Linked DNA regions of Drosophila melanogaster. The protein of the gene in region 1 interacts with the protein of each later gene in a pairwise test. Each region holds a gene or a part of one and is shown in the gene's direction. Other genes may lie near its edges.

What was found.
Region 2: the proteins of Nufip (region 1) and CG13627 interact in a two-hybrid assay, tested with the Drosophila melanogaster proteins (one large-scale study listed by BioGRID).
Region 3: the proteins of Nufip (region 1) and CG8204 interact in a two-hybrid assay, tested with the Drosophila melanogaster proteins (one large-scale study listed by BioGRID).
Region 4: the proteins of Nufip (region 1) and crn interact in a two-hybrid assay, tested with the Drosophila melanogaster proteins (one large-scale study listed by BioGRID).

Annotation. Positions count from the first base shown.
Region 1 is NT_037436.4:18,746,111-18,750,295, reverse strand, and holds Nufip (nufip), read left to right. Parts: upstream 1-1,928; 5' UTR 1,929-1,987; coding exon 1,988-2,179; intron 2,180-2,239; coding exon 2,240-2,520; intron 2,521-2,577; coding exon 2,578-3,640; 3' UTR 3,641-3,685; downstream 3,686-4,185. Other genes in the region: Atg3 (Autophagy-related 3), read right to left, coding at 1-503, 558-748, 817-952, 1,407-1,478; MED11 (mediator complex subunit 11), read right to left, coding at 3,808-4,185.
Region 2 is NT_033777.3:24,710,899-24,717,945, forward strand, and holds CG13627 (uncharacterized protein), read left to right. Parts: upstream 1-1,881; 5' UTR 1,882-2,008; coding exon of another isoform or gene 2,009-2,077; 5' UTR 2,078-2,193; coding exon 2,194-2,199; intron 2,200-3,885; exon of another isoform or gene 3,886-4,079; coding exon of another isoform or gene 4,080-4,085; intron 4,086-4,151; coding exon 4,152-4,709; intron 4,710-4,819; coding exon 4,820-6,187; intron 6,188-6,248; coding exon 6,249-6,410; 3' UTR 6,411-6,532; downstream 6,533-7,047. Other genes in the region: CG46316 (uncharacterized protein), read left to right, coding at 2,009-2,077; Polr2L (RNA polymerase II, I and III subunit L), read left to right, coding at 6,720-6,814, 6,898-7,006.
Region 3 is NT_033778.4:15,572,596-15,575,973, reverse strand, and holds CG8204 (uncharacterized protein), read left to right. Parts: upstream 1-1,982; 5' UTR 1,983-2,240; coding exon 2,241-2,308; intron 2,309-2,363; coding exon 2,364-2,524; intron 2,525-2,582; coding exon 2,583-2,785; 3' UTR 2,786-2,830; downstream 2,831-3,378. Other genes in the region: CG30466 (uncharacterized protein), read right to left, coding at 3,048-3,161, 3,217-3,378.
Region 4 is NC_004354.4:2,247,024-2,251,941, reverse strand, and holds crn (crooked neck), read left to right. Parts: upstream 1-1,958; 5' UTR 1,959-2,078; coding exon 2,079-2,114; intron 2,115-2,172; coding exon 2,173-4,245; 3' UTR 4,246-4,348; downstream 4,349-4,918. Other genes in the region: CG3191 (uncharacterized protein), read left to right, coding at 105-270, 588-747, 848-929, 993-1,295, 1,362-1,498, 1,555-1,636; Or2a (odorant receptor 2a), read right to left, coding at 4,448-4,498, 4,569-4,918. UniProt on the Drosophila melanogaster protein: May be involved in pre-mRNA splicing process. Involved in embryonic neurogenesis and cell rearrangement during Malpighian tubule morphogenesis.

The DNA of each region.
Region 1 (4,185 bases):
ACTCCCAGCTGACCGCCGCCCTCCTCTACCGTCTGTATAATCTTCTTCATGATATCCGCATGCCGACATGGATGCACAGAGGCCATATTGGGACCTGGAAGATGCGGATGGGACTCCATGGTGACAGTTTTCTTCGCGTGATCCTGCGAGACATCCTCGTACATCTGTTCCACGGTCAGTGGCTTGCGCTGCTCATCATAGCCCACCACCCAGAGTCGCGGCGTCTGATAGTACTTATCATAGCTGATGTGCAGGTCGTACGTGCGTGTATGGAGCACAGAGTCACCGCTGGCCTCCGCGTCGCCCGATGCGGCTGCCACTGGGCTGGCCTTTGCTTCCGGCTCCGGCTTGCGTGTCGTGGTGGCTACAGCCGGATCGACCAGCTCCAGCATGCCGCTCTCCTCGAAATCGTCCATGTCAATAGCCTCGTCGTCGTCCTCGTCTTCAGCCTGGCCCCCAGCGCCCGGCGCAGATTTGTCGCTATCTGGAGTGTGCATTTCTTCCTGAAATGCAGTACTTGATTATGATAGTCGTGGTAAAGTTTCACCCGCACTCACCTTTGTCTCCTCCATTGTCAGTTCGCAGATCTTGTCCTCCAGCTGGGTGGTGCCATCATCGTTCAGTTGATGAGTCTCCACCCAACCGCCGTCACCGGACTCCTCCTCCACCAGCGTCTCCTCGCCGACGTATTCCATCTGCTTGCAGCGACGATAGCAGGGAACATTGCGCGTTATCAGGAATTGCTTATCTAAGTGGGGGCGAAATGATTTTAATGAGTCAATTGGCTAGTTATTAGTGGAAAATCGCAGCACATACCCTTTGGTAGGTAGGGTTTTGTCTTGGTCTCATCGCCAGCGGCCCACTGCCAAGTTGGACAATGGTGCACCAGGTGATCACCGGCGGCCACGAATTCTTCCGGAGTGAGAACACCTGTCTCACGGAATTTCGATTCCTGCAAAAAAAAAATAACGATATTTGTACAACAATTCAAAACCAACAAAGTGGAAAGTTGTATCTAGAATTCTTAATTGATAAATAATTAGTATATATGTATATTAGTTCCATATCTTTAATCTTAACGCTAAAATGTAAGTATTTCCCATAAACCGTTACATTATTGTAGGCCGTTTTCTTAAAAGGACACAAAAATAGGCCGAGAATTCTGGGACGCCCCTTATTTTACGTTTGGAGACAGTCTGGCGTTGGATCCAGTTTTATAGCCTCCCGGGGGCCGTTAACACAAGTCTTGGAAAATGGGGAACGGGAAAATGGAATCAATATTAGAGCGAGGAAACCCCTTATCTTTGCGGGTTTTCTTTGTCATGATGCATATGTACACCCTCGTTTCATATGTACGTATTGAAATACACATTTGATCAGTTTTCCGTTTATTTGGCACTTTTTACCTTCAAAACGGGCGTCAGATATTCGGCCACATTGAGCGCTGTGCCCTTGACGGTGTTGAGAACACTCTGCATTTCGTTGGCCGCTGAGTATTCGCACTAATCTAAACGCTTAAACTTAATAAATACAATTAAGATGGCTCTCTCAATTGACTTGCACTTCGCAGCTAATTGTTTTTGTCTTGCCAGTCGCGATACCAACAACAGTGCGGTGCGGTCATACTAGTCTATCGATGTGGGTGGGACTATCGATAAGTTGTTGCAGGAACAACGGCACTTTTTGCAATGGATTGCCCAAATATAAAAACAACCTGTAATTTACATTGTTAAATACGGACTAATCTAATAAATTTTGTTAAGAAAAAATGTCTAAAATAAGTTCTAAATTTATTAAAAACCCGAATTTTAGCGAAGGTATTTTAAAATAGCACTTATTCATACTTTTAAATGATTTTAATAAAAATAAATCTTACCTTAAGAAAGACATTCCTTTTAAAATGTAGTACGCATGTTGGTATATTCGATAGCTTCGGTCACACTATGTCCATTCGCGCACATTGTTTCTAACGTTTGTACGCGACGAAATGGAAGAAAAGGTTCTGCCGAAATTCGTATTACCGTCTCCAAAGTTCGGCAAGCCCAATGGATCCACCACATCCAATCACCTCTACCTGACCCCCAGCGGGATGACCCTGCTGCCGCGCTCCAAGCAACCGCCGCCCATGTACGGTGCACGAGGATCAACAGTGCCAGCTAAATATCTGCACCAAGAACAAGTGAGTGCACCAATAATAGTTCGAGCTTGTTCTTTAAACATTCCTTAATTCAAAACATAGAGCAGCCCAGTGAGCGTGCCTGCATCCCCGCCAGTTTACCATTCTCCTCCGCGACCGGAATTTTGTCACACATGTGTAATGGAGCTGGCCAACTCTCAGGATATGAAACTCCACCTGGAGCAACACGAGTTCTGCCCTGCCGATGACTGCGACTTTGCGGCGCTCCACAACATCCTGGAACGTCACATAGAATCCAATCACATCACAGGAACCTACGTAAAGGTAAAGAAAGTTTGGTCCGAGGAAGAATTGGCCGCTTGGAGGGCAGAACGAAGAAAAAAGTAAGTTAATTAGTAGAAATTTCTTTTGTTCTTTAAAATAAGCAGCTCAAATTGTAGATTTCCCACTGCGGCCAATGTTGAGCTGGCTAGATTAGCCAAGGAACAGCGAATTAAACGCGGAGAGCGCCTGGAGGCTTCGAAATCTCGCTTCGGAAACCGGGAAGATCGCCAACGGACGCGAGGAGGACCCCAGGGAGATCACAAAGTTCGTTTCGATCCGAAAAACAAGAAAAAGAGATGTGCCAAAGGGAAAGCCAATGAAAAGAAGAAAAAACGTGTTGGTACTGATAAAGCAAACGAAGCTTTGAAGCAGAAAGAAACTAATGAAGATAAAAAAGAAGAGGAAGTTAATTTGTGCTCCCTGGGAAATGCTAAATTTGGAGGAACTGGACAAATGCCGGAGTACCAGCACTTTAAGGCAAAAGTTCAAAAGAAGGATAATGCTTTGTCTAGCTTTCTTGGAATGTACGGGTCAGATAGTGACGAAGAAAGTGAAGCTGAGAGTGATGATCAGAATACAGCAGACTGCAGTAAACAAATCCCAGCACAAGTAGAGAGCTCCCAAAGTATGCCATCTGAAATCACAGAAATGGGTCCAGCCCTTGAGGCTTCAAATACACCTAACTCTGTTGATAATACTCAAACTTGTGAAGACTTTACACCTATGTTGGAAATGACATCATCAGACCAAGTGCCGCGAGAAATAAGCAACATTAGTCAAATAACTACATCTAACTCAGAGCCTGCCAAGGAAGATGGCTCCTCCGACGAAGGACCGGATGAAGAGCCCTTCCAGCGAGTGACCGAAACTATAACAGCGTCAGATCCAGTCAAACCACCTCCTGAACCAATGGAACCGAAGCCACAAACTGCACCCAAAAGAGCAGCTCCAAAGCGAATTTATGGCTTGAACTACAAGAGAGCGCGCAAGCAAACCCCGAACACTATGTTGTCGAAACTATTAGAATCCGATATACGCCATGAAAGAAATGTCCTGCTGCAGTGCGTGCGACATGTTTGCGAGAGAAATTTCTTTGGCATTGGTCAAGCTAAACCAAATCAAGAAACGTTGGTTACCACTTGTGATAAAACCGTTGATTCAACACCGGATGCATTATAACTTTAGCTTCTAAGTTAGGCAAATAAAGTACAAATAGTAGTATGCAAATGTATTTCTTAAAAAGAGTGTCACTTATGTTTCGATTAACGCAATTGGTTGACAAAATGTGCCTTTTCGGAATGCACTCTAAAAAATTTAAAACCCTTACCCTTAAAGATAGCGCAAGATTAGTTGGTTGACATTGAGGAGTCTCCGCCCATGGGATGATCTCCGCTGCCGGCATTTCCTCCTCCGGTTTGTTGTTGCTGCTGTTGTGCCGCCTGTTGCATCTGTTGTTGTTGCTGCTGCTGCTGTTGTTGTTGCTGCTGCTGTTGCTGGGCGGCGGCATGTTCCTGCTGACGCTTCAACTGCTGACGAGCTGCATGTGAGTGTTTGGCCTTAGTTTCCTCAAGTTCACGCACTCTGGACCTAGCGTGCTGAATGCGATGCCAAGCCATTTGGAGCACTTTGGCGGATGCATAGCCGGAACCCTCGTGTGGCTGACCCGTGGACACCTGGGTCAAGTAGTTGATCTGCTCGGACAGCTTCGATTCCACGCTGGACAG
Region 2 (7,047 bases), on another chromosome or scaffold:
GTAGTTAGATTTTTTGTATAGAATCAACGTTTGCAGATAAAAACCAAAACGAAAACCGAAACTAATATGATAATTTTACAGGTTTAAGGCGGAAATGTTCATTTTTTTAAGGAATAACGATATTAAGATATCATAATTAACATAACAAATTGCAACTAAAAAACCAAGCAAAAAAAGAAAAACGAAAAAATATTTTTTATAATTTCGCAGCACTTTCACATGATACCCGCACACGCACACATACACATCCGGCAATGTGTGCTAAATAAATTGTATAAATAATGCAAACCCAAAAAAAAAAAAAACAATGCAAATCATATTAATGTAGTTACATTTTTTTAGTTTTTACTCGCTATTTATATGAGGTATATTTACACAACGGAAAACGTAAAAGTAGACATAAATAAAACGTAAAAAGCGATAAAAAAAATTCATTAATTTACATTGAAATTAAAGTAAACTAAACCGAAATCAGAGCAGAAAGCATAAAATGACAAATTAGTTTAAAATGGTCCTGCAAAGGCAAAAACAACAAAAAATAAACAACATTTTAAATAACAAATTGAAGAGCTAAAAATGCATATTTTAAACATTTGTCTAAAACGCAACCGAAAGAAAAAACCAAAAGAAATGATAAATGTATGAAATAAAAGGTATAATAATAATATTATGTTGTTAATGTTTAAAAAACCTTGTTAAAAATAATATTTCAAAATAAAATATAAATACGGAAAAAAATAGCAAAGAAATTACCACCAAACTGAGAGCTTTATGAAAGTGAAATTTTGATTTATGTCCCAAAACTTTGGGCCGCCAAATACTGACCCAAAAAATGGCTGGCCGGGCGTTATAAAATTCCAATGACCAATTGCGTTTAGAAATTGGATGTCGCGCCTTGCATAAAATGCGACCAATTATTGGGGAGCGTTTCATAAGCATGTCTCATTATCATCGAAGGGCCTTTGGTATATGTACATCCGAAATGTGAAGCCTATCATACGGAATCCATTGGTTATGGAAATTGCATCCATTCGTTTTTGGGACACATCTGAATTAAGTTACATTACCATCAAATATCGCTTAAAATACAGCTCAAGCTTTTCTACGAAACCCTTAGCCCCCAATTGAGCTGACTTCCGTACAAAAACTAATTCGAAAAAGCTTTCACGCATTCCTTTGAGTCTTCGACGAGTTTAGCCAGATATTTAATGCAGTTAAATATGAGTTTAAAATTATTGGAAAAATATTGGCAACATCTTAAAAAGTATGAAAATGTTATAATAATATCTTATTATTCCCAAAATATTGTTTGGTTCCGCTTTAAAATGTTTGCTATTTTCCCCACTGTGCCTGCCGCATTTCGTAATTTCAATCGGTGGCTCTGCTCCTGTTTGCTGCCCCAGCAAAAAAAAAGACTTAAAAAGTGGGGCCAACAGGTGACAGACGGCGGCATTGGGGGGCCATCTCTTGATCATGTGCGCCTGGTCCGCATTGCTTTTTAAGGTAAAGAGCGAGTGCTGACTTGCGACGACAACAAGTTCGCTGCTTAAGTCTTTTGTTTGGCGCCGTCTCTTTCGCTCCTTTCTTTCGCCGGCCAAGAACAGTCAATGGGAAAACACTTTCGTTGCGATTAATCGGCCACTTGCTGGCAATTCATGTAGCTGCTGGTCGCGTGCTGCGCTTTATCCACTGCAAACTAGTTTTATTTGTTGGCTTTTTATTTATTTTATTTTTTTTTTTTTGTATTTCATTCGGCGCCAGAGTCAAGAAAATCCGACCACTTTCTTCAGTGCGCACTTCCAATGCGAGTCGTCACTCCATTCCAGTGGAACTCCAGCGGATGGGCACATGGTTTTTGTCCGCCACCAGCGACCAACTAACAGTCAGTTGTCTTCGCGACTTGAACAGGTGCGGACGTCGCTGCTCCTCGAATTTATATTCGAAACTCTTTACAAATCTTTTGTGCGTGCAGTTTAAGATCGAAGAAAGCGCCGCGGCGCTCGTTGACATGAAGTTAATTGACGTGATTATATACCTAATTGCCATTTTGATCTTCATCTATTTGCTGCTGGAGTAGCAGAAGAAGCCAAAAGTTGCTCGACATTTGCCCCAGAGCTTTCTACAGTCTACCAGATCCATCAGCCAGCTACCCGACAATAAAACAACGAAAATCTCTAGCAAATCCGAAAGAAGATGAGGGTAAGTGATTCACGCGGGTATTGTGAGTTTGTTGGCCACAATTAGCGGTTATTAAAAAGTCTCTCACTGCGCACAGCATAACACAATAATGGATTGGCTTTAATTTCTATTGCAAATTCAATGGCATTTCTTCTTCTCATCGGCGATCAACGACTTCAGACTGAGATTGGCATTCAAATTTGGTATCACCTTCACCTTCGCCAGCAAAGCCAGCAAATTGCAATCGCTGCACAATGAAGCTGTAGCTTCTTCAATTGAATTGAAGTCGTCGGAATATTTGTCAAATTGCAAGGTGGCCGGCAAAGCGAGCACTTTCATTTGCAATGGGAGCACTTGATGCGCCAAGTTTCGCCAAGATCCAGACAATGGATGGCTTTACGTGCACCAATTGCATCGCACACTGTGAGTTGCAAGCTGCAAACTGTGAGGCACAGGCGGCTGCCTCAATGTGCAGCGGGCTTGAAAATAAAATGCTTGCCGCTAAAATAAAAGTTGCATTTCGAGTTGCAATTTGGGTTAACCACACCGTTGTTTATGGTCGACGCTGTGGCGACAGCCCGCTGATCAATAGTTCCGCCTAGGCCGTTGGCAAAAATCCTTTGTCAGGTTCAATGGCACTGCCGGCCAAGCCCAAAAGGAAACCCGAAATTATGCGAATTCCATTTGGACTTTCGTTGAACGGGTTATCCGCCGTCGCCGTGGGCCATTCCCTGCCAGACTTTTCAGTGTTTGGCATCGGGCACCCGTCTCCTGGCAGCAGTTCATTCACCAGCAGGCCGCCCCTGGTATTTGCATATGATTATGATGCATGTTGCAATGGCGACAAACTAACTAACTTACTAACTAACCACTCCATAAACAATAAGCCACCAATTTTGTGGCAATTACCCCGATCACCGCCGCTGCAGTCAGTTTCAGTTGCAATCGGCAATCCGTTTAAGCAAACGCAGCACGTAATCAATAACTATACGTATTGGACTCGCCTAGGCATTTCACCTCTTGATTGACGTCTGGCTAACGGCACACCGTATTGCCATTGTCATTGCCGCCGCTCCGGTGGCTCCAGTGGCTCTGCTGGTGCGCTGCCCAGGTGAAATTTCAATGTCCAGTGGCCGCCTCAAATTACCCACTTCCCCTTCCATCGACGAGACTAAAGAGACCCATGCCAGCCGCGCTGAAGAGGCACATACTCATTCTTTTCAAGGAATAACATGCATTTCATTTTAATGGTTCCTATATATGTTTCTATAAAAATCTGACATTTTACGCCTTAATAAATTTATTAGATGCATGATATGTATTTCTTTCTTCGTTATTGTGTTATACCTAAACTAATAGAGCCATTCCCTTTAACCTATATAAAATGCATGAAAAATCCAAAATACTCGTATATAACGTATAAGGTAGGCTGTAAGTTTCTAAAGCCAATTTCAATGAAAGTGTCACCAAATGAGTCAGTGATGCATTATACCCGCCGAATTGTAAACAATGCGACAGTAAAATTTATAGAACGAAGACATTTCGATGACGGACTTTTCACTTTCATTCTATGGCATTGTGGACAGAAAGTTTAATCAGCCATCGAAGCGGGGAAAATGGGCAAAGTATTATGGCATACCCGTATAAATATATATGTATGTATATTTATAAATGCGAAGCTACTTTGTTTGGCTCGTTTGCTTAAGCAGCTTTGGTTAAGTAGCCAATGGCAGGCGACGTGATAAAATTTTAGAAAACCGCCAATTTGTTCAAATTAAGGCCATTACAGTTTTGTTGCTGTCCAGCGATTACAAGACCCTCCTCCTTCCTCACCGCCCCTTTTTTTCTTCTTCGCCTTTGCCGGGCTTAGAAAGTTTTTATTTCTTTCGGCGTTTTGTTCGATGTCTGTATGTACGAGTAATTATGTTTTTGATTTAATGGTCTTTGACATTGTCCCATCCCATCCTCGCCAGCCATTTCTGCTGTTCGCACTGCTCCTGGCGCTGGCTAACTGCGAGCAGCGTCCACTGGTTTTCACCAACTGGCCACCGAAGAGCTCCAAGCAGCTGAGTCGTCCCGCCATTGGAGCTGGAGGTCCTGGATCCGCTGGAGCGCCTGGAAAGCAGCGCACGCTGGTCGTCCAAATACGCAGCGATCAACCGGTGCCCTTGGTACTGAAGGGTCGTCCTGGACATGGAGCGCACAGCCATGCCGCCCATCTGGCCCATCCGCATTCCGTGCATCCTGCACATGTCCTGTCGCACGCCCATTCACATGCCCATCTACACTCGCATCCGCTGATCCATGTGCCACATCAGTACCAGCATCAGCACCTACGCGGACCACCTCGTCCCATGAAGCTGAGTGGTCCGTCGCCCGTGTACCTGAAACCAGCTGGATCTCTAAGGAAACCACTGAAGATCAAACTGAACAATGTGAAGCCCAAGACGAAACCCACATTCGGATACGACAAGCCCTTTAAGTACGAGAAGCCCACTGCTGTGAGCTACAGCGAGCTGCAGAATCTGCCGGTAAGTGGAGTCCATTGAAAATGTCCTGCTCTTAAGATATCCTTATACTGCACATGCCCCCCACTCCCCTGAACATATAACATAACTCCATTCATGCTGATCCCCCACAGCTGGACACGCACAACAACTTCAACACCGAGCACTTTGCACCCATTTACACGGTACCCGCACCGAACCTGGCCGACAATCACCTGGACGTGGAGGAGGGTCATCTTGACACCTCCTACCTGTACAAGCCTCCTTCCCAGACCCAGATCCAAACACCATCCTCCTCAGCCCGTCCCCAGACATATTTGCCACCGAAGTACAGTGTGCATGAGGACGAGACCAATGACCAAACCATTCGTGATCCCATTTCGGGTTCGCAGAAACTCTTTGCCCCAGATCCGGATCCCTCGCTGCCCACCACCAAGATTCGCCCCGCCACCGAATCTTTCAATACGCCCAGCAACAACAAACCGCTGCCCGCCGACGTCCAGAGTAACCATCTGCCAGCCCAGCCATTGGTTCAGATTGTGGGAGCCCAGACGGCAGCCCAAACGGCGCCAGAGATCTATCCCATTCAGTATGCCCAGCCGGCGGTTCACTCCCAGTCCTTTATCGCCGCCATTCCGGCTGCCCACATTCCCATCTATAATCCCACCTACCTGGTGACGCAGTCCAACCAACTGTACTCGGCCCACAAGCAGCAGCTTTTCAAGCCCAGCTCGGAACCGGTGGTGGAAACGGGTTACGTGAACGCCGATCTCACCCAGGAGGTAGCCAGCAATGGACAGATACTGCAGGCAGCCAAGGATCCACATCACAACATCCATCCTGTACTTGATTCGGCGCCACAATATGCTGCTCTTATTGCCGCTCCGGCACTGGGTGATCCCAATGAGGGTGCCTACGAGACGGCCTCCTTCCACCTGCCCAATGTGGCGTCAGCGGTCACTGCCTCCGTTCCGGAAGGTGGCTTCGTGGTGTCCAACTTCTATGGCCATGCCCACGACTCTTCCCAATTGCTGCAGGCCTACGCAGAGGAGGAGGCACGTCGACAGCAACTGGAAACAGAGCAAGCCGCCATTGAGCTGCAAAAGCAGCAGCAGTTGCATCTGGAGGAGCTTAAGGCGCAGGCCCAGGAGCAACAGCAGCAGCATCAGCTGCATCTGGAGGAGCTGAGGGCTCAGGCGCAGTACCAGCAGCAGCAACAGCAGCAGTTCGAGGAACTGCAGGCACAGGCACAGGAGCAACACTTGCAGCAGCAACACCAGCAGCATCAGTTGCAGCTCTTGCAATTGCAGCAGCAGCAACAGCAGTTGCAGCAACCAGTGCAGCACCATCCGCCGCAGCAGCTGCAACAGCAGCAGCAGCAGCAGGTGGCTCAGGATCCAGCAGCAAGTGCATTCGAGGAGCACCAGCGATTGGTGCAGCAGCAACTTGGCGCCAACACGCCACTTCGCATCTTTGTGCCCGACGAGGAGGCCGCCGAATCGGTAGGTAAAATTAGACAAGAAATTCTTCCGTATGCTAACATTTGAGACTTTCCTTGTATAGCGACTGCAAAAGAGATCGGATGATGTGAAAAAGGGCACGGTGGAGGATGTGTCCAGTGCGGGTCGGAACGACGGCGACAGCGAGGAGTCAGCCAAAGATTTGTTCGAGGTATCCACCTCCGTCGAAGTGGCCGGCGAGCATCTCACGGCCAGCAGTAATTAGTTAACGCACTTTTAGTCTTCGACGCTGTTCAAAAATATTTATTTACACACTCATTTGTAAAAAACGCATTCATGTAGCGAGCAGTCGGTAGTTAATAAAAATAACCATTAATTTATTCAAATATTCGTTAGCGTTCTTTTTGAATGGATATAAGTTTTTGTGTTATCGATACATTGTAATGCTGGTGAGATAAAAATACAACTGCACTCTGGTCACACTCATGACAAGTAAAAACACATTTTACCAAAAACATTGTTGTGATTGCACATTTTTCGTGATTTAACTAAGAATTAGAGCCTGATCTACAAAATGATTATTCCAATCCGTTGTTTCACCTGCGGCAAGGTCATTGGCAACAAGTGGGAGTCGTATTTGGGTCTCCTGCAAGCGGAATACACCGAAGGGTAAGTCACGCGGGAAAGTCTCCTTTCCACGCCGCATTTCATCATATAATATATATATATTATATCTTACAATCCAATCCCAGAGATGCCCTGGATGCTTTGGGTCTAAAGAGGTACTGCTGCCGTCGCATGCTCCTGGGCCACGTGGATCTTATCGAAAAACTGCTCAACTATGCTCCTCTGGAGAAGTGAACGGCACAATGGAAACCATCCAAACTGGACTTGGGAATAAA
Region 3 (3,378 bases), on another chromosome or scaffold:
TGCACTATAAACGCTGTGCCACTACGATTGCATGATCTGTCAATCTGCCCAATTGCCAGGACTATCTGCCCCCTTATTTTTCCACCTTCCAGTGTTTTCCTCGTTTGGCTTTTCGGGCGATAAAAACGAAGCGAAAAGTGCCGCTATCTATTAATATCGCTTTTGGCTTTTTCGCTGGCGGCTAGCTGGTAACTGGTAGTTGGTAGTTGGTAGTTGGTATTTGGTAACTGGGAAAAGCTGGGAATGAAAAACGCTGAAAACTCCTAACGAACGACACCTGCCCTCGGAAAATGCCACTACTGCACCCCGCGAGAAACTTTCGCCCCATTTGGTGGCGTGTGTCTCGCTTTTCTTCTTGCTGTTTGCATTGGTCGCCCCTTTTCCTTTTGGCGATACACTGCTGCTGATGTTGCACGAATGTTGTAAATCAAAAGTAGGCGAGTCACACGAAGGGTCTTCCTGCCCCCCCGAAATCCCTGCCACCGCCGATAGCCGCTGCTTGCCAGCGCCTCTGCTGCTGCGCCTATTTGACTGGCAGGCCGAGCGGATAACGCTGGCAATTATCGCGCTTGTGCCTCACGAACAGCGGAAGCGGCAGAGGCGCCACATCATGTTACCCGGCCCGATTCCCCAGACCTTCCACATCCCCAAACTCTTTGTTAGCCTGCATCCTTTGCTTTCTTTTGTACCACTCGTTTTTCTTTGTGCAATCCAATTGGTAGCGCTCAGAAAACAAAGCAAAAACGATTGAAAATAACAACAACCAGTCCCGGCTACAAGTCCCCCAAAATATGGCAACAGAAACAAGAAGAAAAAAAACGATTCATATACGAGTATAGCCATGCACCTAGACCACCCCATCCGGTCAGTCAGTCAGTCATTGAAGTCATTTATTGCCACCAAAAGTTTTTCGCTGTTTGCCATACCCTCGCAGAGGTTATTACGGCTCAGACTAGGAGCAGGACACGAAGGATCTCAATGGGTGTAGTTATCGTATACAGGACTGTAAGAAGTTATAACCCAATGACATTACCTATAGGACTATCATTATTATCAAATCTTAATGACACACATCTATATGTGTATATTTCATAGCTGAATATGGCCATATAAATGAGATGTTTCTCTTGCAACTAAACCTACTTTTTAGGACTATATATTGTGCATACACATAACACGTTTTCATTAGAAAGAAAGCTTAATAACAAAGGGCATTCCATGCTTCGGTTAACCAATCGAGCCTCACTGTTGTACTTATTTTTACTTCTGGTTGTACTGTACTTGTCTTTGGAGCTGGAGCGGATCTGAACGACTCCTTCCCGGGAAGGACCGTTCCGTTTCAGTACGTTCCGTGTGCAGGATATGTTTACAATTTGCGGACACGCCGACCGTCATTTGATTGCTCCCCTCGCGCTTGTCGAATTCTCGGTTAATTCGCCAGGTGGCTTCAGACTGCGCATTGCCATCGGCGGCGGGGGGAAAGGATTGGGAGGCTTTGGGGCGGAAAAATGGGAGGGCAATGATAAGCGTTCCTCGTTTGTTTGCTCGGAAGCCTCACGGAAGATGACGTGCCCGGGATGGCCCATAAATGAGACTGGCCAAAGCAAACAGACCGGATACACAGGATACATTCAATCAAATAAGGCTATTCGTAACCGGAAAAGGGCAGGACGACTCTATGTCTTCCTCAATCTGACCAAACACTCCGCTAATCGTATGGTTAATAACTAAAATACCTGTGGATAATCTTTAAACGTTTTCAATATGTAAGTCAGTGAGATACAGATACAGTAGATTGAAGCTTTCTGACTATATAAAGTATTTACTTATTTATGATGAGCAAAATTGAATGTTGATGATGAACATTTTATTTGTTCCAGCAAATTGTTCAAATTCAAATTAAAAGTAATGGCGCCAAAGATAGAATTCATCTGTTGACGAAGGCTGGCAGCTACAGAACAATCTAACTAAGCTATGGGATTCGTTTCAACACACTCGTCGTAGAACTCCACTAGTTTTGTTTTCTCACTAAATTAACATGCAGCCCCGCGATCTTATGCGCATTTTAATATTATTCTGCTTGCGTTTTGCATTTAACTTTTTGATTGTTTACCTCCAAAAACATAACGCCGTTCCAGTGGAGCAGAAACGGCTTGGAACCCTCGATAGAGGCAAAAGCTGGAGGCTATAAAACTCGCACAGCTGAGTTTTATTTTGCACGCGACATTGAATTTGATGAGATGGAAAAATGCATTATTTGCGTAGATAACTTGAGAAAATACAAGTGCAGCAAATGCTCGGCACCCTAGTAAGTAGCTATTCGAACAGTTCACTACGGAGATAATAAATGTCGCAAAATGTAGCTGCTCTGTGGCTTGTTATAAGACACACAGGGATTCGCCCCAATGTGCGACAAGGGAGTCCGACTTGAAAAAGACTGAAGTTGGCTACCAGGAGGAACCTACGCTTCATGTGCCCTTCCCCACCGACGACACAGTTGCCGCGGAGAAGCTCCAGCAACTAGGTAGGTGTTTAAATTCGCAATTATACACATTTCTCATAGTATGATGGTTTCCGTACAGAAAACTGCCAGGAACTGCGTAATTTGCTCCACAATCCACACCTGCGTTCGCTGCTCCAGCAGATTGATGTGGCCATCAATGCCCAGTCGGCCATGATGGCCGCCATGCAGGAGCCACTCTTCGTGGAGTTCGCTAATGCCTGCCTTCAAGTCGTCGAACCGATGACGGATGCTGAGCGCACTGAATTTGAGTTGTACTCCTGAATTAAGTTGACACACAGTCTCAATAAAACTAAGCCTTTATTTTGTAACTAATAGTACTGTCAATCCTTGGCAGCTTCTAGAGGAGCTTGCATTGAAGAACTCCTGGAAACTTCTCATTGAAATCCGCCGGTAAGGTTGAATCTTTTCCATAACCAGGGAAAACGTACAACTAATTATTTGGCTCGGCCATTTAAAGTTATCTATCTCAGCTGGCATATCAAACTAGTCATCAGTCTACAGCTTCGTTCCTTGGCAATCAAACTCAATCAAAGTAAATTGAAACTGGATCCGAGTTAAAAGTGATTTTTGGATGCTTCATGTGCAACTTGAAAAGCCTATGTTCCCCTTGCACTTTCCAGGTCATGGGGATGGGATCCTGTAATGAAAAATATTAGAAACGAAAGCTAATATAAGTTGTGAAATACTTAGACCTCATTAGACATGAGATACGTGTTTAGTTCCACATAAATATTAAGTGCTGTGGTACGGTTTTCTCCCAGTTTCTTCGCATCGAATGTGAACTCCTTAAATCCGAAGGTGCAATGGTATATACCCAGGACCTCGTGTGTGTTTAGGTTTTGTATTAAGGTATG
Region 4 (4,918 bases), on another chromosome or scaffold:
TTTGAAAGTGATTCGAAAGCGATTGCTGCGTCCGATAGCCGATAGCAGACCAACCTGGCGGAGGGAACAGCGACGGAGCAATCGATACCCAGGCCACAGCACCAATGAGCCGCATAGGTGTGAGAGAGACTGGGGCGAGCGGTACGTCCGAGCAGCTGCAGCGGGAACAGGATAGCGACACATCGGAACAGGCGGTGCGGAAGCAGGAACGGGATCTCAAGGAGCTCCTCGAGTGGTTCCGGCAAAATGACAAGCTGCCCAAGGAGATTGGTAAGCGATGAGCCCGAAAACCGTGCGGGAATCCAACATCCGTTCACTGCCCATCAGTCCCATTCCACCTCCCACCACCCACCGTCCATTAATTAGGTCGTTAGTAGGCCGCTCCGCTCGCCGCCTTACGTCACTGTAGTCAATTGTATACAAACAGTGAATGTACAGGCAAGTCTCCCTAAATCGAACCGCACTTCCCAATTCAATATGTCCAACACGATGTTTGAATTAATTAATATTCCCGTAATGTGCAAAGTTCCATGGGCTTAACTCCTTAGCAAAAACTTCATTGTATCGTACCATATGTGTATTAACAGATCCGCTGCTGCTCCGGCGCTTCTACCAGTGCATGTTTGGAGACGTGGAGGAGACTCGGAAGCTCATCGAGGTGAACTACGCCCTGCGCAACCGGCACCCTCACCTGTTTATCAAGAGGGATCCTCTAGACGCGGACAGCAAGCGCACCTTTGACTACGCGTAAGTGTGTCCTTATTGGGAGAAAAGATTCCCTTTCCTTTGAGGCAGGGCCATGTTCCAAAAACATACATACCCGTATACCCCAACACTCGAATTTCAGAGACATTCTACCGCTGCCTGGCCTAACGCCGGACAAATGCAAGGTGTCGCTGTACTGCTTTCGGGAGTTCGAGGCCTCCAAGGTGAGTAATAGCTTCTCTTTGCTGTAGGAACTTGCGCTCCATACCGCCGATTGCTATCCCCAGATGCACCACACGGAGGACACGCGCGCCTTCTTTATGGTCAGCGACTGCCGGTTCGTGACGCCGGACGATCTCGCCAAACCGGATGTCCTGTCCGAAGGAGAGGTGCAGATATTCGACATGAAGGGCACCACAATGCGGCACATTTCGCGGCTGACGATCAGCACGCTGCGCGCCTACATCAAGTTCCTCCAGCTGGCATTTCCGGTGCGCCTGCGCGCCATTCACATGATTAACTGTCCAACTTACCTGGATCGGATCGTCAGCGTGGTGAAGCCGTTCATCAGCGACGAGGTCTTCAAGCTGGTGGGTTTCTTGAGAAGCCATTATGTCTCTAATAGCTTCATCTCACCATTACTTTCTACACTTTAGATCCGTTTCCACACGCAAAGCATAAATACGCTGTACGAGTTCGTGCCGCGGGAGATGCTGCCGGAGGAGTACGGCGGAGGAGCCGGGTCCTTAGAAGCACTGCGGACCCATACCCAAAAGGCCTTGGTTGAGCATCGGTGGGTTTCGATCTGCATGTTATAGTTATTCAGTAACGCCTCGTTGCCTTTTGTAGCGACTATCTGATGGACCCCGATCACTGGGTGGTGGTGAAGCCGGAGAAGCGGAACGAGAGTTCGTGGAGATTTTTCAAATGATTACCTAGAACATCTTCCACGGTAGCAAGGAGTCTCCTTCAACTGAAGACGGTTAAAAGTGTTTCAAGTGTATTGGGATAAACAGTTCCTGTGGCTTTTCATCTCTTAAATATCCATTTTTTTTTTAAATTTGTGTTGAAATTGCTCAAAAATAAATAAGTAAAAAATGCGTTATCCGTTTTATTTTTAACCCAACAATGTACAATTATTATACTAGTATATATTTATGGAAATACAACAAAAAAAGGGATTTAATTGAAACACACATTCAAAAGTAGAATGCGCAAAAGGCCAGTGGAGACAAAAAGCGATTATCGATAGCGAACTATCGAAATATGCCTATCGTTATCGCACGACGTTGTTAGTGGCATTATTTATTTTGTTGCGATTTAGCGTTTTTCCAACATAACATTGCTAAGTGAGGGACCCCGAATCGCACAGCATGGAGCGGCCACAGAAGATGCCCAAGGTGGCCAAGGTATGTGCCATCGTCGGCAATCCACCAAACCAACTTATCCAATCCAAAATTTCACCAGGTCAAAAACAAAGCGCCGGCGGAGGTGCAAATTACGGCGGAGCAGTTGCTCCGTGAGGCCAAGGAGCGAGATCTGGAGATTCTGCCGCCGCCGCCAAAGCAGAAGATCTCCGATCCCGCCGAGTTGGCAGACTATCAGCAGCGGAAGCGAAAGACCTTCGAGGACAATCTCCGCAAGAACCGCATGGTAGTCAGCCATTGGATCAAATATGCTCAGTGGGAGGAGCAGCAGCAGGAGATCCAGCGGGCGCGCTCTATCTGGGAGCGGGCGTTGGACAATGAGCACCGGAACGTGACCCTCTGGCTGAAATACGCCGAGATGGAGATGAAGAACAAGCAGGTGAATCATGCTCGCAATCTGTGGGATCGGGCAGTGACCATCATGCCGCGAGTCAACCAGTTCTGGTACAAGTACACCTACATGGAGGAGATGCTGGAGAATGTGGCAGGGGCGCGACAGGTGTTCGAGCGCTGGATGGAGTGGCAACCGGAGGAGCAGGCCTGGCAGACCTACGTCAACTTCGAGCTGCGCTACAAGGAGATCGACCGGGCACGGGAGATCTACGAGCGATTTGTCTATGTGCACCCGGACGTGAAGAACTGGATAAAGTTCGCCCGCTTTGAGGAGTCTCATGGGTTTATCCACGGCTCTCGGCGGGTATTTGAGCGCGCTGTGGAGTTCTTTGGTGACGACTACATCGAGGAGCGCCTGTTCATCGCCTTTGCACGTTTCGAGGAGGGTCAAAAGGAGCACGACAGGGCGCGCATCATCTACAAGTACGCTTTAGATCACCTACCTAAAGATCGCACACAGGAGCTGTTCAAGGCCTATACGAAACACGAGAAAAAGTACGGCGACAGAGCGGGTATTGAGGATGTGATTGTTTCCAAGCGCAAGTACCAGTACGAGCAGGAGGTGGCCGCCAATCCCACCAACTACGATGCCTGGTTCGACTATTTGCGCTTGATTGAGGCTGAGGGCGATCGGGATCAGATCCGTGAGACGTACGAACGGGCCATTTCCAACGTGCCGCCTGCCAATGAAAAGAACTTCTGGCGACGCTACATTTACCTTTGGATCAATTATGCTTTGTACGAGGAGCTTGAAGCGGAGGACGCGGAACGCACGCGGCAGATCTACAAGACCTGTCTGGAGCTAATACCTCACAAGCAGTTCACCTTCAGCAAGCTTTGGCTGCTGTACGCCCAATTCGAGATCCGCTGCAAGGAGCTGCAGCGAGCACGCAAAGCTCTGGGCTTGGCCATCGGCATGTGTCCCAGAGATAAGCTCTTCAGAGGCTATATTGATCTGGAGATTCAGTTGCGTGAGTTCGAGCGCTGCCGCATGCTGTACGAGAAGTTCCTGGAGTTTGGACCGGAGAATTGTGTCACTTGGATGAAGTTTGCCGAGCTGGAGAATCTGTTGGGCGACACGGACCGGGCGAGAGCCATTTTCGAGCTGGCGGTGCAGCAGCCGCGCCTGGACATGCCAGAGCTGCTGTGGAAGGCGTACATCGACTTCGAGGTAGCCCTAGGCGAAACAGAGCTAGCCAGACAGCTTTACGAGCGACTCCTTGAGCGGACGCAGCATGTGAAAGTGTGGATGTCGTTTGCCAAGTTCGAGATGGGCCTCAGCCACGGCGACAGCGGGCCAGATGCGGAGCTGAACGTGCAGCTGGCAAGGAGAATCTATGAGCGAGCCAACGAGATGTTGCGTCAGCTGGGAGACAAGGAGTCGCGTGTTCTGTTGCTAGAGGCATGGCGCGACTTTGAACGCGACGCCTCCGATTCGCAGGAGATGCAAAAGGTAATGGACAAGATGCCGCGGCGCATCAAGAAGCGGCAAAAGATCGTCTCGGACAATGGCGTCGAGGAAGGTTGGGAGGAGGTATTCGACTACATCTTTCCCGAGGACGAAATGGCTCGACCCAATCTCAAGTTGCTGGCTGCAGCTAAGATGTGGAAGACACAAAAAGACAACACGGTGGACGACCCGCCCGCTACAGCTATTGCATCTGAGCCAGAACCTGCAGCTGATGCTGCCCCAGCGGATACGACGGATAGCGGTGACTGATTCACTTCCGCCTAAAAATCGTTGCTTTTGAACAAAGCTAAATATCTGAAATTGCAGATTTTTCGCTTTATTTTTGGATACCTTAGTAATAAACCACTTAAATAAAAAACTATAATGATCTTTTTTTTTGTTATATTATCTGATATATTTTTCTGCTATTGTGCTTTAAAATTTTTCTCCCCAAAAAGAGATTATAAAGTTCTTACTTGGCCCTCAGCAAGAGTGTGAAAACAGAGTATGTGAACCTCATGACCTGGAATCAAGTGAATCATATCATATTTGAATCAAATCAAAGGACATTTGAATATATAATTGTGCCTTGCCTGCTCGAAGGTCTCCAGCGAGAGTGCGATGTAGTTGCCTGCGTAGATAAGAGAAGGCCGCTGCGTCCTGGCCAGGGTGAAGAGCAGTTCGCGCTTGAACTTGGGCAGCTGTTCTATCCAGTTGCAATCGTAGAAGGCATCGCACAGCGCCTCGCTCTGTGTCCGCATCCTGTCCCCAAAATAGCAGATTACAAACACCTCCAAGGTGACGGCCGAGAAAAATACAATCGAGATGATCATGGCGGTGTGGTCGTGGTCATCCGCTACGTACAGGAAGTGCATGGCGACGGTACACTGGACGGCGGCGGAGCAGACGAACTGGGCCATGCAGGGCACTGAAAGGACCCGCT